Tamandua tetradactyla: one gene and its partners. The protein of the gene in region 4 interacts with the protein of the main gene of each other region in a pairwise test. Links are inferred from orthologs where the notes say so. Each region holds a gene or a part of one and is shown on either strand. Other genes may lie near its edges. The genes, in order: OTX1, KPRP, CRKL and TNS2.

What was found.
Region 1: the proteins of TNS2 (region 4) and OTX1 interact in binary tests that used the Homo sapiens proteins (3 or more experiments, as listed by UniProt). The two-hybrid records come from large-scale screens. The link is inferred for Tamandua tetradactyla from reciprocal best matches to the Homo sapiens genes TNS2 and OTX1.
Region 2: the proteins of TNS2 (region 4) and KPRP interact in binary tests that used the Homo sapiens proteins (3 or more experiments, as listed by UniProt). The two-hybrid records come from large-scale screens. The link is inferred for Tamandua tetradactyla from reciprocal best matches to the Homo sapiens genes TNS2 and KPRP.
Region 3: the proteins of TNS2 (region 4) and CRKL interact in a two-hybrid assay, tested with the Homo sapiens proteins (2 studies listed by BioGRID and IntAct). The link is inferred for Tamandua tetradactyla from reciprocal best matches to the Homo sapiens genes TNS2 and CRKL.

What each region holds. Positions count from the first base shown.
Region 1 is NC_135343.1:35,958,663-35,966,270, reverse strand, and holds the start of OTX1 (homeobox protein OTX1), read right to left. Parts: upstream 3,011-7,608; 5' UTR 2,923-3,010; intron 2,558-2,922; 5' UTR 2,517-2,557; coding exon 2,487-2,516; intron 886-2,486; coding exon 678-885; intron 1-677. UniProt on the Homo sapiens protein: Probably plays a role in the development of the brain and the sense organs. Can bind to the BCD target sequence (BTS): 5'-TCTAATCCC-3'.
Region 2 is NC_135330.1:2,486,788-2,494,617, forward strand, and holds the start of KPRP (keratinocyte proline-rich protein), read right to left. Parts: upstream 3,009-7,830; 5' UTR 2,983-3,008; intron 2,573-2,982; exon of another isoform or gene 2,246-2,572; intron 1,655-2,245; 5' UTR 1,627-1,654; coding exon 1-1,626.
Region 3 is NC_135331.1:26,757,509-26,764,729, reverse strand, and holds the start of CRKL (crk-like protein), read right to left. Parts: upstream 3,004-7,221; 5' UTR 2,906-3,003; coding exon 2,595-2,905; intron 1-2,594. UniProt on the Homo sapiens protein: May mediate the transduction of intracellular signals.
Region 4 is NC_135333.1:114,410,815-114,418,595, reverse strand, and holds the start of TNS2 (tensin-2), read right to left. Parts: upstream 3,004-7,781; 5' UTR 2,961-3,003; coding exon 2,886-2,960; intron 1,113-2,885; exon of another isoform or gene 1,024-1,112; coding exon of another isoform or gene 1,018-1,023; intron 333-1,017; exon of another isoform or gene 35-332; coding exon of another isoform or gene 1-34. UniProt on the Homo sapiens protein: Tyrosine-protein phosphatase which regulates cell motility, proliferation and muscle-response to insulin. Phosphatase activity is mediated by binding to phosphatidylinositol-3,4,5-triphosphate (PtdIns(3,4,5)P3) via the SH2 domain.

The DNA of each region.
Region 1 (7,608 bases), on a different chromosome or scaffold from region 4:
CCTTCCTCCATGTCCCCTCCAGCCCGCCGCCCCCCCCCCCCCCCTCGCCCCGGCCTGGTGTTGGAGAGGTGTGTCGAAACACCACCGGGAAAACACATTCTGAGGGAATAAATGGGGGTAAAGGAGGAGCCGGAAAAGAAACCCAGGGTTCGGCTCAAGCCTTCCCTTCAGCGGTTTTGGTGCAGGCCGCTGGTCCTGGGCACAATTTCATTAGGGAAGGAGAACTCGCCTACCTCAGCCCAGCCCAGCCCGTCGCGTTGATTAGGAAAATTCGGCCTTAGGGCCAAGCGCTTTTCGTTAGGGCTTAGCAAGTGTCTAGATTCCTCATTCAACGTTGGGGGAAAAGGAATAAATCCACACACACAAAAAAATAGCCACCCGTGGGAAACGAATTCGCGGGTAAATGCGCTCTGCCCTGGCAGTGAGAGCATAATAGGAGACAGGTTGCTCTTGTGGCCGGGCCGGGAAGGTGCTCATCACAAGTTCTCGCCGCCCTGACCCACCTCACCCACCCGCGACGCTGCTGCGGCAGGCGGCCAGCAGTGGGTTCTGTGTTGTGAACAACTAGGTAACTAGCTTCTTGGGCCTTCTCGGCAATAAAAGCATGCGCTCAGAGCCGGTAACCTGGGTGTTCCCAACGTTTGCAGGGGCAGGGGCCCGGGAGGGCGGGTGCTCACCCGGATAACCCACGGAGGGGTGCAGCAGGTCCATGGCCGGCCCCGCCAGGCCCAGCCCGTTCATGCCATATGGGGGTTGTTTGAGGTAAGACATCATGCTAACAGCCGGGTGGAGGCGCCCCGACGGATCCAGGGGGCCGCGGGCCGGGCACGGTGCGGGACTCCCACCGCTCAGTCCTTTGAACTCTGTTGCGTCTGGGGACCGGGCCTGTGAAGATACGAGACACAGGGAAACCGTAATTCAGAGCCACCCCAGCTCCCAAGTCTTGCCCGAGACAAAGATCTGGTTGGAAAGGGGGAGCAAGATGAAGCCCTGGGCAGAGGCATCAATTCTGATCCACAAGGCCCTAAGTCCAGAGACCATAGCCTTGAAAAACGTTTCTGGATGTCGTTGCCTCTGTTCGGAGTTGAAATTGGCCAAAGACTCTGGCAGGACGGCAGGGGGGATTGAGAATTGATGAAAAACCCGGTCAGGCTAAGGGCGACAGCAGGGCCGAAATCGTCCGGAGTGCAAGGTTCTAAAATTTTGAGTCCGGCGGGAGCCGATCTCAGGCTGCACCACCAAACACTCACTCGGCGCCCTGGCCGGCCTCAGGCTGCCAAAGCTATGAGGGGTTGTTTCGTTTTGTTTCAATTGCTTTTGAAAGTGAGATAAAAAGTAAAGATTCCAGAGGGCCAAAGCAAGGCACTGCGAGGACTGGCCGCACGTCGGCCTCTGTGGGACGCGTTGCTCACTCGGGGGCCTGCTCTCCCTCAAGGTTTCCGTGGCTGGGGCCGAGCCCCAGCGTCCGCAGCCAACCCTACAGCTAACCTCTCTGCTCCCAGTCACTGAAAGGCTGTGCCGGAATCTCACCACAGCTCAACCGCAGTTATCCACCTAGGCCCAGCAAAGGCGGTCAAAGGAGGCAGAAGGGGTCACGGTAGAGGTGGCAGTTCCAAGATGAGGCCCGTAGTTCGGGGAACCTCAGCCGGGGCTGTGGGCCTCTATTGGGCGGCGCAGTCTGCGCTTTCTTTCTGCCGGGTCCTGTATAGGGACAATGGGGTCCCGGCCAGGTCTGAAGGCTGATCGAATCCAAAGGGTCTCCGGGATTTGGGAGGCTGGGTTGAGGCAAGCGCCGTGCGCTGCCTGCCTATCCCTACTCCCTGAACCCGCGATCCCGGACCCGACCGAGAACTAGGCCTCAGCGGCGTGGCCCGCGCTGATCCCGGCCAGAAGGTCAAAGCTGCGCTTCCCTAACTGCTCCGAACCCTAGGCGCTATACTCGGGGGTCAGGAAGAGATTCTGGTAAGTTGGATTGGAGCCCAGGAGGCCTTGTCGCTCCACCCCGTTTGGCGGGAACTTTTCTTAAAGCAGGCCTCGGGACCTGGGTTAGGGAGTACCGCAGGAGAAGTTTGAACTGAAGACGCACTACCTCCCCCCATACCCCACCCGGGTCCGCCGGGACCCTCAGCCTGGACTGAGAGAGCCCTGTTCGCCGGGAAGGGGAGGAAGAAGAGGGCAACAGCCGGTACTCTTGGACCAAAGGAGAACCAGATTCAAGCGCGGAGGGTCTGCTAGGCTGCTGCCTTGAGTTTTCAAAGACTTCCTCCAAACTTCGGCTCGGCGACTTCGGAGGAGGCGGGGGAGGGGGCAGAGCGTCGTAGCACCGCTTTGGGGCCCTCCGCACACCTAGAGAGGCTCCAGGCCGCTCCCCCGGCCCCGCCCCATTGCCCAGGACTGGGGGAAGCGGGTACCGCGTAGAGGAGGGGGAAAACAGAGCAATCAATGCGCTCCCGGAGTTCCGCGCGACCCCGCGTCTTTCTCCTTACCTGTTCTCTGCCGCTTCGGCCTCTCACCATCTACACTTCACGCCCTTACAGAGACCCGCCCGGCCGCCAACCTGCAAAACAGAGCCGCACAGGAATTACGCATCGGGCCAGGCGGCTGGTCTTGGACCCCGGGATTTCTTTCTTTCCCCAACTTCCCTCCTCCCATTTCTTTCTTCTTACCCAATGGCTTTTGTGCGTGTTCCTCCAGGTTTCACTTTAATGCACACTTTGTTTGCAAAGCCCTACACGCTCCCGGGACATTGCCTCGCCCAAGACCGCGCCGAGCAGCCGCGAGTGGGGAGGGTGGAGGGTACGGGGGATAGAGTTGGAAGGAGGTTCGCCTTTACAGCTGCACTCTCGGGGCAGCAGGGAGACAGCAGGGCCTGGAGAAGTCCTGCAGAGGCACTTTTCAAACTAAGTAAATCAAGCAATTTACCTGGTCGGAGTAGCTTGTCTTGCTTGGTTGTTTAGGTGATTGGAAATGTAGCTTGATGAAGATTGATCACCTTTCTACTGCCCTCCCCGGGTAAGTGAATGCGAGCCGAGTGCGTAACGGGGCTAGGCCGCCAATCCAGGGCCCCGCGCGGGCTGAGTGACAGGGAGCCGGGCAATGGCAGCTCGAGCCGGGGGTTACCTCTGCGCGCCCCCGCCCTCCCCCGCCCCTTGCACCCCGCCCTCCCCCGCCCTCCCTCCACCCCCGCCCCGGTCGCGCGCTAACTCTGGGGCTCGGTTTGCAAATACCAAACAGATCGAGACGAGGAAGGCGAGAGCAGCGACCAAGCCCAGGCCATTGAGGGGGCGCCCGTCCCGGGGCCTGTCCAGGGGCCCCCACTCCTCTCCCGCCCTCTTGGCGCTCCGAAGGGAGTGGCAGAGGGAGGCGAGGTGCTGGAGAACCGGTTTCTTAGCTCTCCCTTGAGCCCACCCGGCTCGGCGACCGGGTGTGGCCGCGAGGACTCTGGGGCCGGGGGCTTGAGGAGCGGGGCCCCCAGCTTCTCTTGCGGCGCCGCGGACCTCAGCGCCTGCTACCTCTGCGCAGCCACCTGCAGACCGACCCCGGGGGCGGATTGTGCTGGCGCGGGCAACTCTGCGGAGCGCGAGAGCAGCTCCGGGCGCGCAGATCCCTCCTCCGCACCTCAGTACTTTCGCGCCCGGGAAGAGCACCCACAAGGGAGGCATCCCCACTTACCTGCTCCTCGGAGTCTCTTGGGGTTTCCGGTCCCCACGAAGAGTGCTTTAAAATCTTAAACGCTTTTTCGGAGACGTTCGAGTCCAACGTTCCCCCTCTCCACTTCCCCTCCCTCCTTTCCCCGCACACACACTTTACTTCTGAATGGAGAGATTTTGATAGGAAACTTTCTCTTTCCCACTGTCTATTTCTCTCCCTCCTCGTTTCCATTACCAGGGACAGTCTGTTGGAAAATGAGACCCCCTGCCCTCAATTTCTTTTCCACGTGCCGCGGAGTGAGCCTCCTTGAGGCGATTTCACCGGATTGCTCATATTGGCGAAGTCCATTTCCCAGCCGAACAAACTTCTCAAACTCGTCCACCTGAGTGGACTTTTCAAAGCGCCACAAAAGTGCTTTCGCCCCTACTCCTGAGCAAGGTAATTCTTTTAAATGGCACCTCCTCCTATATTATTACTCACGGATTTACTCCCTTTCGAGGAATTCTTACCCTTTTTTCCTAACCCACCCTCCCCTAACAGGCGTAGTGAAAAGTTTGAACAGGAAGGAGAGTAGGTATGCGGGCAAGTCATGGAACCACAAGGTGCATCGCCGTGGCCAGCGCCCGCACGGCCCGGGCCGCTGGGTCCCGCCTCGCAAGCCGACCGGGCTCTGGGCGAGGAGGAGGAGGAAGGGGGAGCTCGCTGAGTGAAAAGGGGCCGCCGCAGCAGCTCATCAAAGTGTTTCCCCCTCCCCCAAGCGACACTTTCCTTTGGAGTCCGAATAAAATACGGTAACAGAATATGATGGAGGGCACACTGTTTCCTTAACTGCTTCTCAAAGGGCCCGGGAGATCTTCTTAGGACCTTTAATAAGGCTTTGGTCGGTTCTTTTGTTGATCTCTCAAAATCAACTCCTTCTAATTGAAGTTGGAGCTGAAAGCGAGCTAATGTTCAAAGAAAGTGGCCGCCAGACCAACGAAATTACATTTTTTTTTTGACGATGAGGGAACATCTAATCAAAGGGGCATGGAAGGAGGGGTGGGAGTGAGGGAGTACGAAGGAGAAAAGGAGGTTTTACAAGATCCTTCTGTGGTTCACAAAAGTCAGCGACACGGGCGCTTCTCTACAGAACAAAGACACCGCGGCTCATTCACAAAAGGGAAAGAGAGAGAGAAAGCAGAATAAAAGAACGAGAGGAAAGGAAAAACATGGGGGGTGGGGTGGGGTGGAAAAAGCTGTAAAAGGAAAAGAAGCTGCGCAGAGCGCGGCGCTGGCCCCGGGGCGGACACACCTCAGGCTCGCCCAAGGCCCCCGTCGAGAGTAGCCCGCGTTTCGGAGCCACGGAGATGGTGCTGAGGTTTAAAGAAAGAAACAAAATACACTCCCCTCCCCCAGGCCCAGGAAAAGACGCCTGCTGGAGGTGGACAAGTTTGGTGGGAGGATGTGTGCGGGACTCCTGGCGTACGCTCCGGCAGCGTCCGCGACCGTAGCCCTGCCCTACCCGGGCCTGTGCGCTCTGTGCTTGGGTTTGGACCTCCCGCTCCGGGGTGCGTGTTCTTGCCCTAGCCCCGCAACTTCGCCTCCTGCCTCCTTTCGGCGCGGTTTTGCCTGCAGCCGTAGCACCGGCCCGGGGATCTGCGCAGCTAAATCGGGCAGCGGTGCGTTCTGGAATGTGCCGGCGCGGTCCCCAGGGCCCGCCGCGCGGGAGTATGGCGCTCACAGCTCCAGATGCTGCCACCGGTCTGGGGGAAGTCGGGAGGTATCAAGTAGCAGGGATTCCCCCCCCCCCCATGAGAGTATTTATCTAATCCCAAATTGCAGGCGAATTTTCTTAATGCTCAGCCCATAAAATCCCGGGATTAAGAGAAGAAAAAAGGGAGGAGAGGGAGGAAAGTAGAGAGGGAGAGACTGAAATGAAAGTTTCCTGTACGAGGCGCAGAGGATTGAGGCGATCGTCGCTAGGCAAACGTCCAGGTGGGAGACGCTGGGCCAGAAGCCACGACTATTTCAGCTACGGCCGCAGCGCGGGGAGGGGAAAAGAGGTCAGCGCTTCGGGAGGAAAAGCGAACCCAGCTCAAGGTCCCCAGGCCGTAGAGAGGGAGAGGGAGTTGGGACCCGGGACCCGGAACCCGCAGCTAAGTAACCTCGAGGCCCGGCCAGATTCTGGAGGACACCGGACAAGGGGAAGGGTTTGGCTTCCGGGCCTAGGGATCCTGGCCAGGGACAGAAGTTCCATAAGGGCCAGCCGGCTGTGCTCAAATCAGCCTGCCGCTAACGCTCCTCCTCCCCAGCGACTCCCGGGCCGTCAGCCTCTCCTCCCGCAGTACGGGCTTTCAAGTTCCCCGGCCCTGGGCGTCCCGGGCCGGCGCCCACGCCCGGCAGAGCGTTCTTGGGCCAGCCGGGCGAAGCCCGAACGCGGCGCCCTCGCCTCGGGCCTGACCCGGCCGGTCCCCGGGGTCTGCACTCCAGCGCCGCCGGTGGGAGTGCAGGCGCCACGGAGCCAAATGGAAGCTCCGCGAGGCTCAAGACTGAGGCAGGTGGGGCGGGAAGCGGGTCGGCGCTGCCATTCCCGACCGCCCTGGCAAATCCGGTGCGAGGACAGGTTTGCACTTCTCAGCTCAGTAGCCCTTCGGGAGGGAAAGTTTCCCCAGTCCTTCGTGAACCGAGGGGGTGACGCTGGCCGCCCAAGCCCCAGGCTGTTCGGGACGGGCGATCTACATCTGCTGGCTTTCCCCGAGTTCTGAGAGCTACCCCCGGAAAAGCCGCGGCTCACTCTGCTCTTCCGTTCGAATAAAAAGGGCAAATACCTGATTTCACTTGGTTCTGATAACTTTTCAATAACTTTTCTTAAAATCCTTGTCATGAAGAAATTCTACCGTAGCAAGTTTTAATTGGCTTTTTGAAAGGCAGCTGGAGTCGGCTACATGCTTTTTCGAACAGAGTTTATGTGTGTACGTGTATGTATATGTGTATATATGGGTGTGTACAAATATATACGTATTTATAAAATCTAGACTAAAATATAAATTCTATTGAAGTGTTTCCTCTGAGTCTCCAGACTTGTTGAACGAGCTTGCTTTGTTTGGGACCCTTCTGTAGCAGAATGACTGAATGGAAATTACCATAAAATCGTCAATTTTTTTTCTGTAACCTGAACTTTTTGTTAAAAGTTCTCTTTCCCTCATCACACACACACCTGCCCACATTATCCACCCACCTCCTTCCCCAACGATAACCCCCTTCCTTTCATTTAAGTTCTTACAGACTGTGGGATATCAAAGACATAGTTCTCCTTAAGAGTGCAAAACTTAACAATGAAAATAAGTAATAATGTGGAAAATACATCAAGATTTTATCATTTTCAGTGAGGTGGAATCACAAATTTCCTCAAATCTTTAACAAAAGAGATGACCCTTTGCCTGGATGATAGTTTATACTGCTAAGAACATATGACTAATTGCTCTTCAATTCACATTCATGTGTCAGCAGGGCCCCTTTGGGATGTTATAAACTTATTCAGCTCCAAATACAGCCGTGCCCTGTCCTGCATTTCAGAGGACCATTTTTCCACATGTAGAGTCTTATGGATACACAAATTCCACTTAGCCAAAGTGTCAAGTTTTCATTGCAAGAAAGCAGCAGCGGTGTTTAAGGTAAGAAAGTTTCTGCTTTTATTGAAAATTTATATGACTCAGTATTGTAATAAATAAACAGATAACCATTTTCACAAAAAAATGACAGTGCTATGTTAGAGAAGAAAATATTAATTGGAGGGATTTACTCAGTGGCAAGACAGATTTCTATCAACACAGAATAAATATTAACAGCATTCTTCAACCAACAAATGGAGGAGCCCAGCTAGATGTAATAAATAATTATCCAGAGAAAAAGATGGTGCATTCTCAGATGATAAGCCTGTCTTTTGTAAAAGGATGCATGTCAATTAGTTCCATCCTC
Region 2 (7,830 bases), on a different chromosome or scaffold from region 4:
TGGCAGGCATGGAACTGGGGAATGGTTGAAAGGCCTCACACACGGCTCTGGACTTGGGCAAGGTGTTGGGAGAGGAATTGGCTCTACAAGTGAGCAAGGACCTGGGCGCTCGCACGACTGCTGACGAGGAAGCTGGGCTGGACGCTCATACTGCATCGGGCGAGGACGTGGGGCTGGGCGCGGTGCCGGACACGGAACCGGGGGAGACACCGGGCGCGGTGCCGGACACGGAATCGGAGGAGATACTGGACGCGGTGCCGGACACGGAATCGGAGGAGATACTGGACGTGGTGCTGGGCACGGAACCGGGGGAGACACTGGGCGGGGTGCCGGGCACGGAACCGGGGGAGACACCGGGCGCGGTGCCGGGCATGGAACCGGGGGAGACACCGGGCGCGGTGCCGGGCATGGAACTGGGGGAGATACCGGGCGCGGTGCCGGACACGGAATCGGAGGAGATACTGGACGTGGTGCTGGACACAAACAGGGTTCTGAAAGTCGACGTGGCAGAGGTCGTGGGCAGGGCTCCGGGCGTAGCTGTGGACGTGGAGCGGGCAGGGGACGTCTCTGCATCGACGGCTCTGGACATTGGTCAAGACGCCGTGGCTGACGTAAGCGTGAACTAGGGAGTGGGTGTGGCCTCAGCTCCGGGCAGGGGGCACTGGAGGGTCTCGGGGCACAGTTCTCAGAGCAGCGTCTGATGGGTGGAATCTGCACAGGACACTTCTGGGGTGGGACCTGCTTGGGGCAGCATGGGGAGGAGATCTCCACTCGGCACCTGGGCCTGCACCTCTGAGAGCTTCTTGAAACCGGGCCTCGAGAACAGCCGCTGCTGTAGATGGGCTCGGAGCGGCGGGGCGGGGTGCAGGAGTTATAGCAGCTGTAAGAGCATCTTGCTGGCAGGCAGCTGCTGGAGTAGAGCTCAGAGCGCCGTGGAGGGGAGCAGCTGCGGTAAGAAGGCTGCAGCTGACGCGGAGGGAGGCATCTGCTGGTGCTCCGAGACCGACGCTGAGCAGAGAAGCCCCCATAAGAGCCCTGGGCCTGGTATTGGGGTGCACACCTGCTCAGTGGGGCCTGGAACTGGCGCTGGGGGACACAGTAGCTGTAGCCAGCTCGTGACTGGACCTGGGGGCTGTAACGGCTGTAGGAAGCTCGTGGCTGGAATTGGGGGCTGCAGCTGCGGTAGGAGCCCTGATACTGGCACTGAGTGGAGAACCTTCCCTGAGTCTGGGGCACTGGGGGACACTCTACGTAAGAGTGAACAGGCCGAGGAGCGGGGCAGGAAACGTAGGTCTGAACCGGGTATTCCACACCGCTAGGTTCTGTGTAATGAACGGGTGTACATTCTACATAGCACGTCTCGACAGGGCACGGAGCTTCGCACTGCACGTAGGAAACCTCGGGCTGGCGTGGAGCCTGGCCCTGAGCACAGGAAAGCTGAGACTGGCACGGAGCCTGGCACTTCACCACTTGAATTGGGCATGGTGGGGGGCACGCCACCATTTTTATCTCCCCAGGAGCTTGGGCTACCACCTGGCTCTTGGTACAGGCGCGCTGGGGGGTGCAGAAGGAAGAACCCTTCACACAGCACTGCGGCTGAGGGCAACTCTGCTGCTGGTCACACATGGTCCTGATGTGGGCAGGTGAGCGGGACCTGAGGGCAAAGAGAGGGTCAACAGGGTGACAGTGGCTGGAGACGAGGGATCAGAACCTAAGGGAAGCCGCTCTGTTTCTTCCTTGGCCTTTCCCCCCACTGCCCTCAACCTCTACCCAGTTAAATGTAATTCGCAGTCAAGTTCCGTAATCCCCCGTGGAGGCTCCTTTGTAAGTCAGCAGGGCCCAGGACTGTCCCCCTTGTCCGTGAGGACAGGAGGCTCGTGCCACCTCCACAGCCCCCAGGGGCGGGGGGCCCCGACAGGAGGTAGAGGCAAACCCCGAGCTCCTCAGGTGAGCCCTAGGAGGAGACACCACCCACTAGAGCACAGCTTCCCTCACATGCATGCACCACAGCATCTGTGCAAAAGTGTGTAAAAGTACGCACTTGGAAACTTGCACACAGGCACCATCGGGGTTCATGTAACATAAAAGATGCAATTGGGAAGTAAAGGATCCGGTCAGCTATTTGGCACCCCATACACAACCGAAAATAGACTTTTTTCTATATTCAGTTTTTTCTTAGGTGAGCTCATTTAAGCAGGCCCTCTAGGGACATGCATAAAATCTCACACTTAAAAGACACACCAACCTCCTAAAGTCTCAGAACCGGCTTGCCCAGGCGGGTCGCCCTCCTGTCCAGGACTGCCTCATCCCCTGTGCCTCTAGGAGGCAGGGTGGAGTCATCCGGACAGACAAGTCACCAGGAGTGCGGAACCTTCACCACGAGGTCAGCCTCGCCGAGCGCCCAGCTGCCAGACTCTTCCCCGCGTGGCCTCAGGGATGCGGCAGCAAGTCCAGCACCAAACACCACGGGAGGGGACGTGGCGGACCACCCCTGCCCTCCGGAAGCCCACCTGTCCAAGAACGGACAGCAAAAGGCGGAGCCCTGCAGGAGGGCTGATTTGACTACTGGCTCCTATAATGAAAGACTTCTGTGTAAGCTCCTGCAGGGCTGGAAAATGTTTTTTATTGAAAGACAAAGCTTTCCATTCTGCAGTTATAAAGAACACACACACGCCCTGGGAGAAGGCGACCCTCCTACACTCAACTCGGTTCACAAGGTGCAAATTACTACTGTGTCTTTTCCAGGGCGGGCTCATCCAAACGGGAAAAGTGGGATGTGAGGCTGAGGGTGGGATTTTCAAAAGCCAAATCCACCGACTTTACAGCCCCAGGTCCTCAGACAAATGCGACAGGGGGTTTTCTTTGTCCCCTAAAATTTCACCGGACTTTTCTTCTCAGGCTGATGTGCCAGTTGTTCTCAGCCCCCAACTCCTCATTGACCCCTGAGCACCCCCCTTACCCCGACCCAGGACCCAGACTCACCCTTCTCGCAGGCAAGCAGGCACGCAGCTGAGGCTCTGCGCTGGGCTATCCTTATATAAAGGGTTATGGGTCCGGCTTGGTCCATGAGACAACGGGTTGGCATCTGTGTGCCTCATCGGCCAGCCTGGCATTCCAGCAGCGGGCCCCTCCCTGTATGCCTGTCCTCGCAGTCACCTGCCCGTGTGGGAGTGTCACCTCCGTGTCCACGGCCCTGCACCATGAAGGGACAGATCCTCCTTTCCTTCCTCCGTCCTCTACCCTGTCAGTTTCTTCTCCATCCCTGAAAGGCTTGGTGGAAGGGATGGAGAAGGAGCAGAAGGGGACCTTCTCTTCCGAGAGATGCTTTTAAAGCCTTATCTTTCTCCTATGCCAGTTTCTGCCTGATACATACATAGGAGAAAAAGTTCCCTGACTTGAAGTAATGAAAATAGCCTCAAAGTTAAAGCAATACTATGGAATGAAGATAATCTGAGGCCAGAGCCCAGAGTCTGAAGCCCCAGGTAAAGCACTTAAATGGTGTGTGACCTTCTTCACCAACCTTAGTTTCAATGTATTCATCTGCAAAATGGAGGAAATTCAGTCTTCTTTCCTGAACTGCTGTGATGAGTAAGCCAATTATTTTAAACAAAAGCATGCAGCCCATAATTTTATTTACAGTATCCGACATCCACTCAGAGTGAAGGCTGTCTCTAAGCCTCGGGCACAGACCACTGGGCTCCTGCCACATCCCGCTTCTGAGCTAAGTACTTGAAGGCTGCACTGCAGGGACTCAGCCCATGCTATGGAGTAGTCCTGGGAGACAGAACAGTGTAGGACAGAAATTACAGACGGGCATCTTGTGAACCAGATATAGGCAGGATGAGACCTTTTGCCTAATAGGATTTAGAAATGTTGTAATTAATTATAATATAATAGAAATAGGAAAATTTTATTATACTAGAAATAGGAAAAGTTTACTTAAGATTACAGACATCCAGCATTTAACTTAAAATCAAGGATCTGATATAGGTGAACCTACCTTCCGTCACCCTGATCAACAACTGCCCCTCTCAGATAGGGCATGTACCTTTCTCCATTATTTACGTCTACAACTCTCCATTATTTCTTTTCACATCTACAGTTCAAAACAAAGTGTGTTTCCATTTATTATTGCATTCATGCTTTTATTTTTCTTTGATGTTCGAAGGAAATTAAAAGGAAACTTTCAACTTTTACTCTTTACCTGGATCAGTTCGCTTGTTTACGTGACCCTCTCGCCCCTGTAGACATTTAGGATTCTGCTCAAGCTGGTGAACAGACTTCGGATTTAGACATATTGGGAATTGACTCTCAGCTCTAGCACTTACTAAATGGTTGACAGCTATGTTCCTCCATGAGCCTCCTTATCCATACAATGTAAAAGAGGAAAAGATGAAGGGAATGAAGAAGGAAGAGGGAGATGGAGAACAACGGGGAGGAGGAGGAGAGTAGAGAGAAGGAGAAACAGAAGAAATCATAGGAATATTATGTGAATTAAAGGAGAAAAGCGATCTGAATTTAATGCTTAATTAGCCATTTAGTATCAGGGCTTTGTTTCCACATAGGAAGATGGGAGTGATAACAGCCACCTCACCAGGTTCTCAGGAAGATAAAATCAGGTAGGTATGAAAGTGCTTTGTGACCTGCAGTGCTGCACACATGCCAGCTGTGTCTACAAAACCCCTCTTACGTGGAGTCTCTGCCAAGATAGACGTGACTTGGGCGTCTTGGCTCTGGAGCCCATCGCTCATCCCAAAGGGCGCTCCAGGAACCACTCCAGACTTGAGCAAGAGGACAGGTTTCCAGAATATCAGAGCCACAAGGACACCTGGAATTATCTAGTCCCACCCTGTTGAGAACTCTAAAGCCCAGAGACCTTCCAGGGACCGAAAACGAACAGCTGCTCTTGCAGGGACTGGATCCCAAGCATCCTCCCTCCTAGACCAAGTCTCTTTTCCACTCCAATAAGTCATTCCTTTGACAACACAATTTGGTCAAGGTATTCTGTTGGACAGCCCCAGGCTTGATGCTCACTGAAAAGGTAGCCAGGAAAGGAGTAAAAAAAGTAAACTGAGAACATAGGCCTGCTGGCTCCACCCACCATGAGGCAAACTACCGAATCCTATTGACTGCCTCTCCCATTCATCTCCCGACATGCACACACTTCCTGAAGGGAAGGTCTCTACCTTATTCATCTTTGTGTCTCTAGATTTCTTACTTTATATTAGTCAGCGGATGGACAGATGGATGCCATGACATTGGGCTTGGATCATGCATCTGTAATCACTGGAAAATGAATTTATATTGTCTAATCCAGTGACCAAAGAACATAGCCATCCCTATTACTTCATGCTTCTTAGGAAGAGAGGAGGCTGGCTAAATCTTGCCGTTGATGATCAGGCTAGGTGTTGGAGTTTTCAAAAATGTAATTTCAGAGACTGCTCACTAAGCGAAAAGCAGAGGATTAAAGTCCTGGTATTCTTCTTTTTCTGATATGTAGGTTCAAGAATTAGAAAGTTGTTAAAGAACTGGAATTAGGGCTGAATCCTTTAAAGGCAGGTATAAATGTGACACATTCTTTTGTTTCTTTTTTTTTGTTTCTTTGGCATGGGCAGGCACCAGGAATCGAACCCGAGTCTCCGGCATGACAGGCGAGAACTCTGCCTACTGAGCCACCATGGCCCACTGTCTTTTGTTTCTTGAGGTAAAATCTCCCCAAGAACATTCTGTATTCGGAGAGGTCTTTGATCGAAGTAGTTCATTTAGATAAGCTTCAATGGAGCCCTCCAATCTCTGTGAGTCTATATATGTTTTTAGACTTTCAGTTTTTGCTCAACCACCTCAATGTGGACAAAAATAGCATTATCTTCCCATGCATATTTTCTCCTCCCAAGGTCCCATTTCAGAAAATAGCCCATCCACAACCTTTTTCAAATACAATATCTGTGAGTCGCCCTTTATCCTCATTCTGCCTCACTCCAACATGTAATCCTCATGTGCTGTTTATTCTGCTTCATAAATGCTTTCAAACACATCTCCTACTCTCCACCGCTACTGCCCTGCATATCTCAGGCCATCTCTTACATTGACTGATGGACTAGTCTTCTGTTCTTTCTTCCTCCAGAGAAAACATGCATCTTCCAAAAAGCCACAAGAGTGATCTTCCTAAACATCCAAGCTAATTATATTATTTCCTTTGCTCCCGTCGTGACCTGGAAAATGATCACACTCCTTTCCAGGGATACAAATCCCTTCATGGCCTGGCCATAATCTACCCTTTCGTGTTTATGTCAGTCCCGTTGCCATTACCTCCCCACTCCCCTGCCACCCCACAATGACATCAGATGCTGCCGTGCATAACGGTTTTACATGCCGTGATATTTCATGATGCCAAATCTTCTCAAATGCTGTTTTTTGGAATGTCCTTTCCTCTCTCCTCCAGCTACGGAGACAGCTCCAATGCCACCATCTTTGAAATGTTCCCTGACTCCCTAAAGTCATGACTCACTCTGTGTTCTGGAACCCTTTGTACCTGCTCCATCGCTGAAGCACCGTACGTTCTGAGATCATTTACACTCCTGTCTTCCTCACTGAGTATGATTTCTCAAGGAAAAGAAGTTGTGCTTTGTTAATCCTAGTATCCAAGAAATAGGCCCTGTGCCAGAACATTGTGCTCATGTTACGTTGTTGATGAAATAAATTTGATGTTCTAATTAAATTATGAGACTCTTTTTGGGACTTTTGGTCCTTTGGAGTCCTGACGTGCCAAATCTTAAAAGAGCTTAGTGATTTCTTAATCCGGGGAAGTAGGCCATAAACACTTCTCTTCTGGCTGCAAAAGATGTACATTTTCAATAGATTCTAGAAGATTTCTCCTTTTTTATAATTTCGTAATCTTCTTTCACCTGCCCCCGTCACTATAGAAGCCAAAGGTACTGGGACTCATTTCTGAAATGGAGTTGATATTTATCATCTGAGCGGTCTTCTCATATTTCCATGAAATTTCTTAAGGTCTTGTAACCCCCAGCCTTAAGCTTTGAGAAAGTCAGTTTTCTCTGGGCACCAGGGTGCCATTGAGTCCTCCTCCCTAAGTCCAGTTTCAGTAAGTCAGGTAGGTCACCTGGGGCAGAGATAAAGGTAAAACAGAAGTAGCCAGGTTGTCACTGGATGGACGTTAAATAAATGGAGAAAGTATAGAGGGTATTATGGGCTGAATTGTGCCTCTCAAAAAGAGACGTTCAAGTCCTAACCCTAGTCCCGTATATGCGAGTCATCTGGAAATATGACCTTTGAAGATGTTAGTAGTTAAGATGAGGCCAGACCAGATTGGAAGGTAGAGGGCACTGTCCCACATGATGCGTGACTTCATATAAAAAGAAGAGATGTGGACACAGAGAAGGCAGCCGTGGGACGGAGGCTGCCGAGCCCTGCAGACAGCAGGCAAGCACGGTCTTGCGAGCACAGGATGCCTCCAGACTGGGGGGCAACAAATGTCTGTTGTTTTAAGCCACAAAGTTTGTGGTCATTTGTTATGGCCCCTGAGTAAACTAAGACAGAGTGACATGAAGAAAAAGAGGCTGAATTTGGAAATGCGTAAATGAAGAACATTTAGAAATGAGGGTATAAATGTAATGACATAAAAAGTAGAGCTACATTATCTGCCTTAACTCACATTTACGAATTTATAATGTTGCTGTGATTAAGTGAAATATAAATACATCTAGGTTTCATTGGCATGATAAAAAAGGCAGCTTATATCATGTCTGCTCAGCAAGTTGTGTCCCTGCTAGTACAGAGACTCTGGGCTTGTAGAAGAATAGCTATCTTGCA
Region 3 (7,221 bases), on a different chromosome or scaffold from region 4:
CCGCCAGTATACCGAAACTCTTCTCCTATGATCCCCTCTTCTCCTTTAAGAACCACATTTCCCCCACACAGCTGTATTTGTCACCTTGGCACCTTTGCTGGAAGACTCAGCCCAAGGCCTGCTTCTTTCAGGCAGAGCACGCTACTTCAGCTAGGCCTCTTCTGTTATAGCCACTTGGCCTAGGTTTATTTCCTTCATAGTATTTACTACTCTTTCAGGTGTTTTATTTTTCTGCTTTTCGCCTGTCTCTTCCACTAGAAAGCAAGTTTCATCCCAAAGAAATGAAGCCTGTTGCCCATCTTTCAAACCAGTACCCAAATCCTGTGATGTAACTCTCATAAATGGTTTAGCTCAAAAAGTGCTCTTAAAGAGCTCTGTTTTGATGCCTGAAAAGCTGAACAACTTCATTTACCTTGTTTAGGGCATTACATTTAATTTTGCATTTGGCCAAACACTAGCTGATTAGCTGACAGGTGCTATCAGCTGATGAGGGATAGGTTTTTCTACAAGACTAATAAAAACCAAATCGATGGGATTTCAGGTTTGGGAGAAGCAATCCAAAGCTTCAGTGTGACAAAGGAAATCTAGCCAAGAGCCAACTGAATGTGTACAAGTAATAGCACTCAGAGCCATGGGGAAAGGGTAAACCACTGCTGTTACAGCAATGGGCTGGGGACAGGGTGTAGGGAATGGCATGGGAGGAAAAAAACTGAATGTGGCGGACGGAGTGGGGGTGGGGAACGGGGGGGCTGACTCTGTAGGGTCAGGGAAGGCTCCATTATTTGTGAAAGGACTAGAACCATAAGTGGATTTAAATAGAAGAGTTAAGTGGTCAGTGAAGGGCCAAGAGCCTGAAAGCAAAGGTACAAAGGTCCATGAGCCGGGCTGGCTACCAAGACTCAAGCCAGCGGTCCAGCGGGGCTGCACCAAAGGAAGGAAGGGAGGGAGGGGACCAGGATGGTGACAGAAAATCATTCCTCGCAGGGAAGACAGATGGGACTCAGGTTGGTGGGTAGTGGGAAGCCACTGCAGCACACTTACATCTACTTCTCTCTCTCTATGAGCAAACCACTACCATTAACTCAATGAAGCTCAATGCTTAACGAAGGCCTGAAATCAATAATATGATTCACCTTCAGAAATCAGGGAGTAATTTACACAAAAGGATAAAAAAACCTCATTACTTATGGGAAATACGATTCTGTCCACTTTACCACTGTGTTCAAAACTGACTGCAATTACCAGCATCTGCAGGGACCAAGAGACCTCAGCAATTTGATTCTTGGTGTCCTGGTCTTTGTTATCCAGCATCTGATTTATAGCCACTTTCGCCTGGATTTTAAAGTCACTTTCGCATAGTGGTTAATCTTACAGTCATTATACTGTCATGGTTTTATTTTTTTCTCTGTCTATACCAGGAGCAAAACTCTGGCATCCAGTTGGTGCTCCCTGACTATAATAGTTGTTCACATTTAACCTTCTGAGTAATATCTTGTCAGCAAATTCGTGAACGTCAGAAACAATCTCACCCTGAAAAACCTACAACAACAATTTGCTCTTTTAAAATGTTGTTTAAGAAAAGAACTGGGTAATGAAAATACATTTTAAAAATTCTGGGCAATTTCCTCAGTTCAAATTTGGCATCATTTAAATAAAAAATTTTCAAGTCCCAGGAGACTTCGCATATAAAATACCTATCAAGACAAAATGACCAAAAAAATCAAAATAATGCATTCTACTTGGAAAAGCACGTAACTGATGCTCAGTGTCATTTTACGTTAACTTTCATATAGATAATAAACTATTAGGCTTAACACAAAAGCTACATGTGAAATTCAACTAGCACAAGATCAAGTATCATTCAAACATTCCCCTAAATTACATTCTAGCTTTACTCCATCTTGGAATTTAACCAAATTTATCTGTAGCCTATTAATGACCCAGAACTTGGGGTGGGGGTGGGGAACTTAAAATAAGTCCTCGATGAGGCTAAGACACCCTTTACAAGTATTACTAGTATTATAATTATAAAATAATTGTCTGGCCCCACCTGACACCAGGATATCAGTATCCAGGTCTGATAGGTCACATTTAAAAGTTTCTAAGCGCTCAGGCATTTTCATTTGCCGATTGTTATCAAGGCTGCACTCTCGGAGTTCTTACCCCAGAGCGCAGAGATCTGCAGAGAAGCAGAACCTGGAATGGTGCGCACACTTGTTTACATACACTTTCGGCGGGGGGTGGGGGTGGGGGTGGGGAGAGGGAGGGGGATGCCACGGCTATCGTCAGATTCGCAAAGAAGCCTGTGGTCCAAAAAAGATAAAACCCGCGTGCACACACAAAACCCTCTAATTTGGTCGGATGGTCAGACAGAGAAGGCGACCAGCGGCGAAGAGCATGGTAACCCTGCAGCCACAGCAATGTGCACCCAAGGGATCCAGACCCTAACACTAGCCTGCTTTAAGGAATACATCCTGAGAAAAGGACACGGCTCAAGAATGGGGGAGGAGTCAGGGCGGGCTCCAAAGACCACCTCACCCCACCCCAGGCTCCCGGGCCCCAAGCGAGCCGCCCTGCCCCGTCTCGGCGCGTACCTGGGCGCGGGCTCGATGAGGGTGGTGGTGTCCAAGTAGTGGATCTTGTAGAACTCCAGCAGGGCCGGCAGGTGGTCGAACTCCTGGTCCCCGATCTTGAAGCGGCGGTTGGGCAGCGAGTTGATGATGTAGTGGGAGACCCGCGAGTTCTCGGACACGGACAGCACGTAGTCCCCGGGGCAGGTGGACGAGTCGCGCACCAGGAACACGCCGTGGCGCTGGCCCTGGAGCCGGGTCTGCGCCTCCTGGCGGGACACCGGCCCCATATACCAGGCGGAGCGGTCGGAGGAGTCGAACCTGGCGGAGGACATGGTGTCGGGCCCGGGGGACTCCGAGGCGAGTCGGGGCGGCGGCTGCGGGCCCGAGGGAGCGGCCTCTCCGGCACACCTCGAGTCGCGCTCAGAGGGCAGCGCCGGCTCCTTCCCCGCGGCGCCGGGCCCGCAGCATCCTCCTCGGTCGCCGCCCGCCCGCTCCGGGGCCGACTCGGGGCGCGGGGTGGGGGCTGAGGGGAACAGACCCGGGGACTGCGGGGCAGGGCCCGGGGACCGGACGGCCTCAGAGGTCTCGGGCAGTCCGGCGCGCCGGGGTTGCCTCTGGGACCTCCTGGCTCGGAAGGCGCTGGCTCTGCGCCCCCACGGCTCTGCACCGGATCCCGAGGAGCACCGTGCCTCTGAGGCGGTTTCGCTCAGCCCGCTCCCGGGAGCCACAGCAACAAAATGGCGGACGCGGGAGAAGGGACCGGCCACCTCCCCCTCCGCTCAGTGCGCTGCGTCTGCGCACGCGCGGCGCTTCGGCTCCCAGCGGCCGCCGGGGCCCGCCCCGTGGCGTCACTCGGCGCAGCCAATCAGGATCGCGCTCGCGTCGCCCCCGGCGTGCGCCGCTCGCGCCGGCTCCCGCGTTCCGGGCAGAGGAGGCGGCGGCCTCGGCGGCTACTGCGGCGGACACTCCCTTTCTGGGCCGCCGAGCGCCGCCGGGGGCGCTGCTGCCGCCGCGTCGCCCGGGCCAACTGGAGGCGAGAGGCAGTGGCGCTTCGAAAACTTGCTCGTGAGGGAACAAAGGGTCAAGCGTAATGTGCCGAGTCTGTGGCTCTGAGGGGACACCCTCAGATAGATGACCTCTGAGGGGTGGCCTCAGGGCCGCAGCGCGGCCTGGTGACCCGGCGGGCCTCCAGGGGTCGAAGGCCGCATCCGGGGCCGAGCCTGGACGCCGCGGGCGCCGGATGGCTGCGGGGGAAGTGCAGACGCCTCTCAGCCCCGGTTTCTGCCTCCTTCGGCCCCATCTCTTACCGGTCGCCCTCGCTCACCCCGCTCCAGCCGCGCCCTTCTCGGCCATTTCTCCCCAACAGATTTGGAAATTTGGAAAGAGCCGGCATCTTGCGTGTCTTGTTCACCCCTGGATCCAGCACGGTGCCAGGCCTGCAGCTGACGCCAAGTATCTGTTGAATGAGGGACTGATGGGAGAGACCACTGGGCTTACTGGTGTGTCCGATCGGTAGCACCGTCCCCCGGAACTGGACAGTCAAGAAAGCATGTGCGGAAGCGGAGCGGCAGGCAGCACACACTCACAGATTATTCTCCCAGTGGAGTTTAACTGGCCGTTTGCATCCCCGAGGTTGTAGGGTGATAGGTCGGTCCCAGTGTAGGGTAAAGCGGAGATACGAAGTCTAGTGCCTTCTGTTACTCAGCATAAGTAGGTTTTCTTCTTCCCCAAAGATGCTTGCGTTTCGTGTTAGTCCCAGGTAAAATTTGGATATCACAGGATTTGAAGCTGACCGCTTGGGTTCAGGTCCTGGCTCAGTCAGTCCATGGACCGTCTGGGCAACCTTGGGCAAGTGAATCATTTGGTGTCTCAGTTTCCTTAACTATAAAATGGGCATAGTAAAATAGTTGTTACCCGCTAGGTAGCAGTAAATGTATTAAACAAGTTAATACAAGTGAAGTGCTTAGAATAGTACCTGGCACATGGTAAGCATTATAGAAGAGTTTTCTGTTACTATTACTCAGCCTCTGCCTGGGCTTTCAGTTGCCTAAAAGCATGTGCAGATGTCTTGGTACTTGGTTTAGGATGGGGAGAAAAACCTCCGCTTGTTTTTCTAGCTACTTCTCTTTGGCAGATTTTACCACTTTGTCAGTGCTTATTCCTTGCCCAGGCCTTCTTAACCTGGCTTCTACCCGTACCTTATCCATCTCTTCTTTCTGTTGAAACCATCATTGTGTTGATCTCCCTGGCCATAGGAAAAGTCTCCTTCTTTGGCTCTTGGGACACTAATATAATTTTTTTCTTAACTCTCCAAATAATATTTCATCTCTTTCTATAGCATTTTTGTCTCTGTAAGTGTAGGAACTCAGTGTCTAGCTTCTTTGGTAGGTTCATATTAAGAAATGAAGTTTTCAGGTGTCACCTGTCTGTTGGTAATGCCGAAATACTGTATTCTAAAAGTAGAACAATAACTGACCACACCCTATCATTACTATGCAAACACTGTGATCACAGCCTAATATGGGCCTTATCATATTCTATTCTAATTGTCTGTTAAGTATCCCTGTTCCTCCCTAACCTGTGAGCATCTGGTAGACAGACTAGTATTTTTTGTATTTGCGGTGCCTAGCACATAAGACACACTTAAATGCTTTTTGAATGCAGGTGGATAAAATGATGGGAAGAAACCAGAGGAAAGTGGAAGAATGTTTATTTTAGTGAAAGTAAGAAGAGTGTAGTTTTTTCTTGTACTTAAATACACATTTGGACATAAGGCTTAGCCCCCATATCTCTCTGTTTAATCTTCCATTTGGATTAAACTCTGTCAACTCCCCCTTTTCTGTCAACAGCATTTTCCTAATTTAGAAGCTCAAAGTCTTAGTCATCTTTTACTTAGTTGAAGAACTCAATAATATCTCATTTATGTGCCACTTTTCAATTCACAGCAATTTATATAATATATTGTATTAATCCAATCAGAGTCCCACAAAGTACCATTTCATAGATTCCAGAGGCTCATAAAGGTTAAGTGACTTGTTTCAAGTTGTAAAATTTGTAAGAGGTAGAGCTGGCAACCTGAAGTCAGTTCTTTTGATTTGAAGTCAAGGCCCCTGTTCTAATTTACTAGCTGCTGGAATGCAATATACCAGAAACAGAATGACTTTTAAAAAGGGGAATTTAATAAGTTGCTAATTTACAGTTCTAAGGCTGAGAAAATGTCCCAGTTAAAGCAAGTCTGTAGAAATGTCCAATCAAAGGCATCCAGGGAAAGATACCTTGGTTCAAGAAGGCCGATGACTTTGGTTCAAGAAGGCCAATGAAGTTCAGGGTTTCTCTCTCGGCTGGAAGGGGCACATGGTGAGCAAGGCGTCATCTGCTAGCTTTCTCTCCTGGATTCCTGTTTCAAGAATCTACCTGGGAAGTGTTTTCCTTTTTCATTTCCAAAGGTCGCTGGCTGATGGTTCTTGTGGCAGTGTTGTTCTGCTCTCTCGAATCTCTCTCATTCTCCAAAGTGTTTCCTCTTTTGAAGGACTTCAGAAACTAATCAAGACCCACCCAATGGGTGGAGACACGCCTCTACCTAATCCAGTTTAACAGCCACTCTCGATTAAATCACATCTCCAGGGAGATGATCTAATTATAGTTTCAAACATTCAATGCTGAATAGGGATTAGAAGAAGTGGCTGCCTTTACAAAATGGGATTAGGATTAAAACATGGCTTTTCTAGGATCCATACATTCTTTCAAACCAGCACAGTCCCATTTCACTGTTACACAACTACCTATGATTTAGTCTGTATTCTTTGTTTGATAGGGAAACCAAGGCCCTCCCAAGTAAATTCTAGCACCAAAAAGGAATATCAATCTTGAAATAGGGAGGACTGCTGGATTTGTCTCCAGCTTGCATTTCAACTGCACCACTGTTCCGCTAGCAAGTTGCTATGTGCTCCTCTTTAAAAACTTCTCTTAAAGATGGAACAAAGTACCTCTCCTTTTGCTTCAGAATAATCCAGTAAGGAATAGGGTGTGAGTTGGATAAAGGTGAAAAAAGATTGGCCACATATTCACAGTTGTCAAAGCTGCACGATGTGTGTGTGTTTGGGGGGGGTCAATTATATTATTCTGCTTCGTTATGTTTGGAATTTCTCATTAAAAAATTAATGTACGTTCCTTATCCTCTTTATCACAGATGAGACAAACTTTAAAAATAATCAAAAGGAGAAATGATAAGGAAACAAAATATATAGGTGTAATGTATATAGGTTCATGATTCTCTCTTAGCTTCCTTATTCCCAGGGTTTCCAGATGGTATTATACTTAGACTTTTTTCCTCTAGGATAATCACAGTCTAGTCCCAAAGGACAGACAAGTCTTTTCAAGCAATTAAGTGGATTCCTTGCTTACCAACCCTGCACCTGCTTCTGCGCAGAGGACAGGACCTTGGGACCTGTTGTTGACCTTGGGCAGTCCTGGATTGCTGGATCCAGACTGCCTTTCTGGAGGCACGAGAAGAGCAAACTCTGTCCCTTCTTCCTTGCCTTGATTCTTTTCCAGCAATGATGCTAAAGTTAGAGAAGAATGACACTGCAGATACGGAATTACGTGATGTGTCACTTCATTGACTTGGTAAGGTCAGCAGTACTCAGGT
Region 4 (7,781 bases):
TGAGCAGCCTCTCCACGGGGCCGCTGGACTTCATGGTGTCCGGCTGGCCGGGTTGCTGGCCGCGGGACCTGAACAATGCTGGGGCCGGGCCCAGGGCTTCCTGGAAGCGGCCTGGCGGAGGCAGCCGCTTCCCCTGGGCGGAGGGTAGGCTGTCTGCCTGGTGCGAGAAGCCCGGCCCTGGAAGTGGCGGGGAGTGCAGACGGGAAGGGGGCAGGTCGCTGCTCCAGGAAGTGGAGGCGGGGGAAGAGGATGTGGGGGAGACCAGGAGATCAGATTCCCAGGATCTATCCTGCTGGGATGTCAGTGCAGGAACCTTTGGGCTCCAGCCTCATCAGCTGCCAGGCCCCTGTGGAGTGTTCCCGGGGTTCATCTTGCTCAGGGATCTACAGCCATGCCCGGTCCTGAGATCCGGCCCCCCATGAGGCGGGGTGGGGGTGGGGTGGGAATCGAGGTCTCAGGGCAGGTCTCAAGGGCCAGTGGGGAACACCGTGTCCAGGCAAGCGTCCCCGCCTGGACTCTCAGGCCCTCCTGGGACTTCCGGTGGGAGGAGGGTGGGACTGGGAACCATGCTGGCTCAGGGTCCGCAGAATGCTGACTGAGTGCATCCTGAGGGGCCCCGAGTGTGGCTCCTGGGAGTCAGGGCAGACGGGACCGAGGGCCAGCTCTCTGCCTCATGTCACTGGTTGTGAAGTAGGGAAAGGAAAACACGCACTGCTTCCCCACCCCGGCTGCCTCTCCACCCCTACCCATTCCAAGGCCAAGTCCCAGCAGGAAGGCTGCGCTGCCCACACGAGTGGTCCATCCTCCAGCCATGGCCCAAGGCATTGGAGGCCTTTCTCCTGAGAGCCCGTGAGAGCCGCAGCTGCTCCCCCCACTCACCCATTGTCTGGGTTGTTTCAGGCCCGACCTGACAGGTCCCTAGCCCCCCACTTTTCAAGTCCTGCAACTTCAGCCTTCCATCCCAGGCCCCCAGCACCGGGCCCTCGCCCCGCTGCCTCCCCAGAGCCTGAGTACTACCTCCATGGTTCTAGCTCTGCTCTCCTCCCTCAGCCGCCTGCGTCCTAGGGCCTGAGGACTGGACAGGAGGTCCCCCTCCCAACACACACTCCAACCCCTCTGTGGGCCTCCTGCCTCCCTCCTGGGAACATGGCCAATTTCCTGTCCTCAGAGTCAAGGGAAGGGGGTGGATGGGCCTTGGAAAGGAGGTAGTAATCTTCGGAAAACATCAGGGTTAATGACCTAAGGGTCCTCAGCCCCAAACCTTGAACCACAGCCCTGTCATTTGAAAGAATGTGCGAATGTGCCCTGCTCTATTTGCATGGCATTTACTGAATGTCCCAGCGGCTCAGGCAACTCCCCCAACTCCAGCTTCTCCCAGTGGGACCCTTCCACTTCCCTCCCCCTCCCTCATGTCCATGTGGTCTGGAGCACACCAAAGACACTTCTGTGGGACTGGATGGGCTGGGGCTAGCCTGACGCCTTTTCCTAAAAGATTCTCCAGGCCAGGAAGTCTGTCCCCAGGGTATCTTGGTCAGTGGGTGGCATCTGTGTGACAAGGCATGGGCCCCCAGCCTGTAACTAGAGAGGGGCTCTGGCTCTAATGCTCTCTCCCCCAGGAACCCTGGCTGGGTCCCAGGACATTCCAGGCCCCTGGCCAGTGTGGGCAACTGGGACTGGCCTGGTCTAGAACGCATCGCTGATTGGGGGAGGAGAGGCACTGTGGCCAGGGGCTTTTCCCTGTTCCTACTGCATATATGACTGACCAGGATCTCTTCTGTAAGCTTCTACTGCTACTGTTTCCAGAGGGGCTGAACAATCTCCTCACCTGGCAGAGCACTTCACGAGGGGACAGGTTCTCAAATGCCCTCTGACCCTAACTGGTCTCAGACTCTCCCCACACAGGCCCAGCAAGGAGCTGCCTGAGCAGTGTTTGCAGTGAGGGAGTGGGGCACTCACCAGCCCCTGAGGTGGGTGGCCTGGGCTGGGACTGACTTGGCTGTGAGTCCTCTGCACCCCCTGTGAAGCACCTCTCAGGGAAGATAGGGATCATGAAAAGTGCCTGAAAGGAAACGCAGCTCAGCGGGAGGGTGGGGGATGGGTGGGGGGGCATCATCAGCCGCCCTAGAGCTCTTGCCTTCCTTCTGCCTGGAACATTCCAGGGCCCTTGTTGGCTCCCGCCTGGCCCTCTCTCCCAAGCTCTGGGTTTGTTTGGAGAAACCCCCTCCACCCACACCATCCCACTTCCTGGAAATAACTGTGGTTGGATATGAGGCTGAGAGCCCAGGGCCCAGCCATGGAAGAAGGGTGAGGCCCAGGGAAGGAGAGATGGAGGCAAGGCCGAGTAAATGGGTGTATCCAGAGGGATCTGAGAACTGAGGGTAGAAGCAGACTGGCTGATGTGTGGAATGGGGCTGGAAAGTCCAATCAGTCTCATCTGTGCCTGCTCTCTGCCTTAGTTTCTCCAGATGTGAAGCAGAAAAGGAAAACACTCGCACACACTTCTCCCAGGCCAGGTCCTGAGTGCCGCTGCCAGCTCCTGCCCACCTGGGTTGGGAACTATGTGTGTCCAGGCAACTTGCTTCACCGTGCCTGTTCCCGGCAACGGCAACGTGTGCGCCCGGGACACGTGAAGCCGTGACGGTCGGAGTGTGACCTCCGGCCGGCCGGGACCCGCCCCCCTGGCCACCTTCCTGGCCTCTAACTTCCTGGCCTCTAACTGCCCTTGACCTCGGGCCCTAACCTCAGCCCAATGGCGCCCACCCCACTCCCCGCGCCCACTCGACCCCCGGCGACCCCGCGCCCCCTGGCGACCGCCCCTGGCACTACCCGGCCGGCCGTGACGCAGATGCCACCGCCCTCCCGCCCAGCGCGGCGCGGCCACTCACCTGCGGGGGGCGCCCGGGGGGGCGGGGGCGCGCCGGGGCGGGGCAGCAGCAGGGGGCGCCTCCGGGCCAGCCCATCCCGCCCCGGCCCGCGCCGAGCGGGACCAGGAGGAGGAGGAGGAGGAGGAGGAGGTGGAGGAGGTGGAGGAGGTGGAGGAGGAGGAGGAGGGAGCGGGCGCGCCGCGCTCGACTCGGCTCCCTCCCGCCTCCACCGCTCCCCGCGCCCGCGGCGGCTCCGTCCCTCCCTCCTGCGCCCCGGCTCCAATCCCCACGTTCCGCCCGCTCCCCGCCCCTCGTCCTCTCTCCTTTCTCTCTCTTCTCCCCACCTTCCACCGCGAACTCAGACTCAAAAAGAGATGGGCAGGAAGAGGAATACGGAGAGAGGCCGAGGCTGGGAAAGATGGAAAGAGACTAAGAGATGGGGAGCGAGATTTTGAGAAAGACGGGTACCGAGAACACAGCGACGGGGAACATCTCAGAGACCGGAGAGACCCAGAAATGGCGACAGGGAGTCCGGGAGAGACTGACCCGGCAGGACACAGGCAAAAGACACGCGCTCCAAAGAGATGCTGAAGAGAAGGTGGCTAGAAACAAGGACAGAAAAACTTGTCCTCCCCCAGGAGTGTTCTTGGGACTGGGTCTGACCCCAAAGCCCCAGGCAGAGCACATCTGCGGCCTGCTGTCTGGGGAGCTCAGATCAGGTGAAGACACCAGGTGTTTGTTTCCCAAGCCGCTGGACACCCTTTCCTGCTTCTCTGGCTCACAGGAAACTTACTGGTGCTACACCGCACCCCCAGGCAGCTCCAGCAGTCCCATCCACCACCTGTTTTAGCTTTGCACTATCATTCCCACTCCCTTGGAGACTTCTACTCAAGAGGGTCTTCTCACATTTAATACAAGCCCTGGGCTTCCCCAGTACAATTGGAAGTTATTACCATGGAGGAGGGATCTGGAGGGTAGGGATAAGGGAGGGAATGTCCTCCTAGAAGCTCTTGAGCCTATTGCCGGTACTAAATTCCAACAACGTTCTTTAGCAGTGAGCACTTCCGGAAACTTTCTCCCTCCTTCACCCTCCCCACTGGAGTTTCCGTGATGAAAACTGGGGTGGAAAGGCAGATTCTGAGAAGCCAGTGTCCAAGGCACAATGCCCAGTGCCTGTCCAAGGCAGTCAGCACTACTAGCTCTGAGGCCCTCTGTCCCTTCCCCCCGCATCTTTCAACTGTGTCCGAGGAGGTGGAGCACCTGATTCCAAGCTGGCATAGGGAAGAGACTGTGAAGACCCCAGAGGCTGGCATTTGGGAGGGGATGGATGTAGCTGAGACCTGAGGAGCTTTGATTTTACCACTTTTGGTTGCATTAGTGTCCAGTAGGCAGGTTCAGGGGTTAGATCAGTGGGGGTCACAGGGGAATGTGAGGGTAAGGAGCTGTGTGGGAAGGGAAGGCGCTGGGGGAAAGGGAGAGGCAGGAGTTAGGAGAAGACTGAAGAGAGCAAGAGATTGAAGATTACTGGGAAAAAGGTCAGAGCTGAAGGTCCTTTTGTGTCTTTTGGCAAGATTTGGTAATGTAATCCAGAGACAAGGTGTGGAAATGTCTTCATTTCTTTGGAGCCTACATTTGCCCCCCCCCCCCCTTTTTGTTAACATTTTGCCCCTTCCAGGGTTCACTAGGATCTTTGGCTGGGGACTGGGATGCATGCCAGGGGGGTAGGCTCTAATCTCTAAAGGTATATACCAAGGGAAATACTGGGACTCAGAAGAGAGAAGTGAGCAGGGCTAGGACCTCACAGTCATGCTGGTATTGCTGCCCAGCCTGGTGGGGCCATAAGAGGAACTTTTGAATTCCCAAGAAGTTGGGAGAGGGTTACAAGATGGGTAGCTGAACCCCTAGCTCAGACATGATTCCTCTTCTCAACATTGTGACTAAGGAGATGGGGGCTGGAGGAAGGAGGGTGAAGGAAGCTGATGAGCAAGGTTGGGAGTGATACAGCAGGTGGTTTAGTGGGGTTGAAATAAAAATGGGTGGTGCAGGGAGCCAGCCAGGTATCTCGATTACCAGCCCAGAGCAGTGGGAGCTTCAGAAGGGAAGAGGAAAGGGAGGAGAAAGCCAGGAGGCTGTTATTAAAAGGGTGAAACAATTTCAGGGGCCCCCCTCCCCCCTCCCCCCTGCAGGTTTTCTTACCTTGACTATGCAGAGGGCAGCCAATCTTGGCACTGAAGGCTGAACCTCCTCTTCCATGATCCGGGGTGATCTCATGCCTGTGACTGGGTGTGGTCAGATCTTTGGTGGGGAAGGGACTACTTTGAGGGGAGAGGGGACATTTAGGGTGTGGGGCTGCCCTGGCTGGAAGAGCACTGGGTCAGGGGAACTTCAGTGGAGGGGTTTGGGCACTGGGAACCAGGAAGAGCGGGGGAAGGGGCAGAGCTGACTCCAGAGGCGGATCTCCCGGCTGAGGACAGAGAGTGTATTGTCCAACCGGGAGGTGGCTGCAGCTGGGCGGGGAGCAGTACAGTTCGACCCTTCCAAACTCCTTCTTTTTAGGAGAGAGGGAGAGGGTGGGAAGGCAAGTCTTCCTTTCACTTGTGGCCCTGGGGGGCTATAGTAGTTGCTGAGGAACAAGGTTTATTTGACAAATTGTGCTTCTGAGGAGCAGATGTGCACAAGCTCTTCCACTTCCTGAGAAGTCAGGTGCTGTGACCTGGTGTGGTACTTGGGGTGACGCCCTTAACAATAACTGGAGCCCTCATTGCCATGGGACCCAGAACAGTACTTGGCTTTGCTTAGGAGAAATTTGACTAGGTGGACTGAAATACACATGGGGCCATCAAACCTAATGACCTTTTAAGTAGGTTGCTGCACCTGTATCCTCTCCCCCCCCCCCCCCCCTTTCTGGTTGCTCAGCATTTACATTAGTACAGAACAAATGGATGGTCCTAGCATCCATTTCTGCAGCTGGACTTATGGGAGGGCCTGCACATTGTTCTATGATTATGTGGGGCATACCAGAGCCAAGTATTTCCTTGAACTTAGGATCTCCTTTTGGGACATGCTACGGGAGTGCCTTCCTCCTTATCCTTTCAAATTAGCCTTTCCCATTGGAGTCCTCCTCCTTTCCACCATTTATCCAGAACTCAGTGTTACATAGGTAGGGAAATCGCTAGAATTGAAGGTTTGGAGAAAAGTGACTGCGTTAACCAAGTGCTCACTTTCCCTACAGTCTGTGCAGGAACATCTTTTTCTTCCTCCCTAAACCCACACTGAAAAGTCTTGCATCATCACAGCACACTGGCCCCTATTTTGTTAGCTTTGGAGAAGAGTGATCAATGCACAGAAAGAATCCTGGAAGAGCAATTGCTTCAATTGGTCCTGCTCAAGGTCTGCAACATTGTCCACTGATTTTTTCTGGTATACCTTCTATACTCCACCCCTTTGTGACCTTAGGGACTCTCTGCCACTGTGCTAATCCATTTCCTGTCTTGCAACAATCGTTTCCCACAGGACTGGTTAAGAAAAAGTGGCCTCAGTTGTGCTAGCCCAGACCATCCTGTCAATGGGAACTCAAGATATAACCCAGCAAGGTAGCAGCTTTGGACTACTTAAGGATAGAGATTTATGGAGGAACTGTTCTAAAGATGTGAAGATTTATTCCCAGACTCTGTATTGTTAAGTATAACAATAAAAAAGAAAATTCGGCAGCCTGGGTGTGGTGTATAAGGGACTCTGTACTATCTAAACAATTTTCCTGTACAATGTAAAAATATTCTAAATTTAAGCTTATTTAAAAAAAAAAAGGTGAGGAAAGGACACCAGGCAAAAAATGCCAAAGGGGCAGCTGGAAGGCAAATTCTGCCCTGGACCTCAATAAGTGTTGAGGAAGATTCCCTTGTAGTTCTATCCTTTGGTCTTACATGAAATGGTACCTAAACCTGAATGAGATGGTGGGATGGTGGGAGGACAGGACAGACAATCAATATTAAGTCCAATAAAAGCCCTGGGAGTACGGGTGTATGTGAAAGAATTTCAACATAAAAATGAACTTTAAAGATCAGATTTATTTGGAGAAAACAAAAAAACCCCACAACCCAAAGGATGGGGATTTTACATCTCAAGACATCTCCCAGGTATTAAGTCTACAGATTACAAATCATTTTCATAGAAGATATTTTTGTACAAATTTTACACGTATTCAGGAGCTGGACATAAATCAATCCCTGTTTCCTGTTTTAACAGGGGGGAGAGGAGGGGATTGGGAAAGAACAGTTTTGGATACAACTATTTGGAAGAAGAGTAGACATGAAGAGGGCAAACCCTACCTTTTCATCATCTACAGCAAATAGTTAAAAAACAAACCAAAAACCTTCCACCCTTGGCTTTCTCTCTCTAAAAGCTCACTTCCTAGCTAGTAGCCAGTCCATGCCAATAATTTAAAAAATTCACTTGGAATACCTTTTATGTCCACTGGATAAATGATTCATTATGTCCACTGCTGCAGCACATGCGAACCAAAACCCTACACGGCTGGACAGGGTATAACCTAGGACTTATGTGAGAAAGGATTGCAAACAAGAGACCAAGGTGTCATTTTTCTGCATGTACCAATACTGCCCATGGCGGGAAGGACACCATCTACCAAGCCGACCCCTGTAAGAGGTGCACACAAAAGCAGGGAAGTTATGCTATTTTGTTGCAAGAGAAACCAGGACCTTGTTAGTTTTCTCCATCATTTATTCTCTCAAGGGAGGCTTAAAAAAAAGAACAAAACAAAAACACACATACACACTGGTTCTAGGCCACATTATAAACCCAAATTGTGGGATTTCAGTAGAGAGAGGAGGAAACTAGTAAAAAAATGAAGTAAAAATAAACCAATCAAGGTTGGAAGAAATGCCCCCAATTTAACTG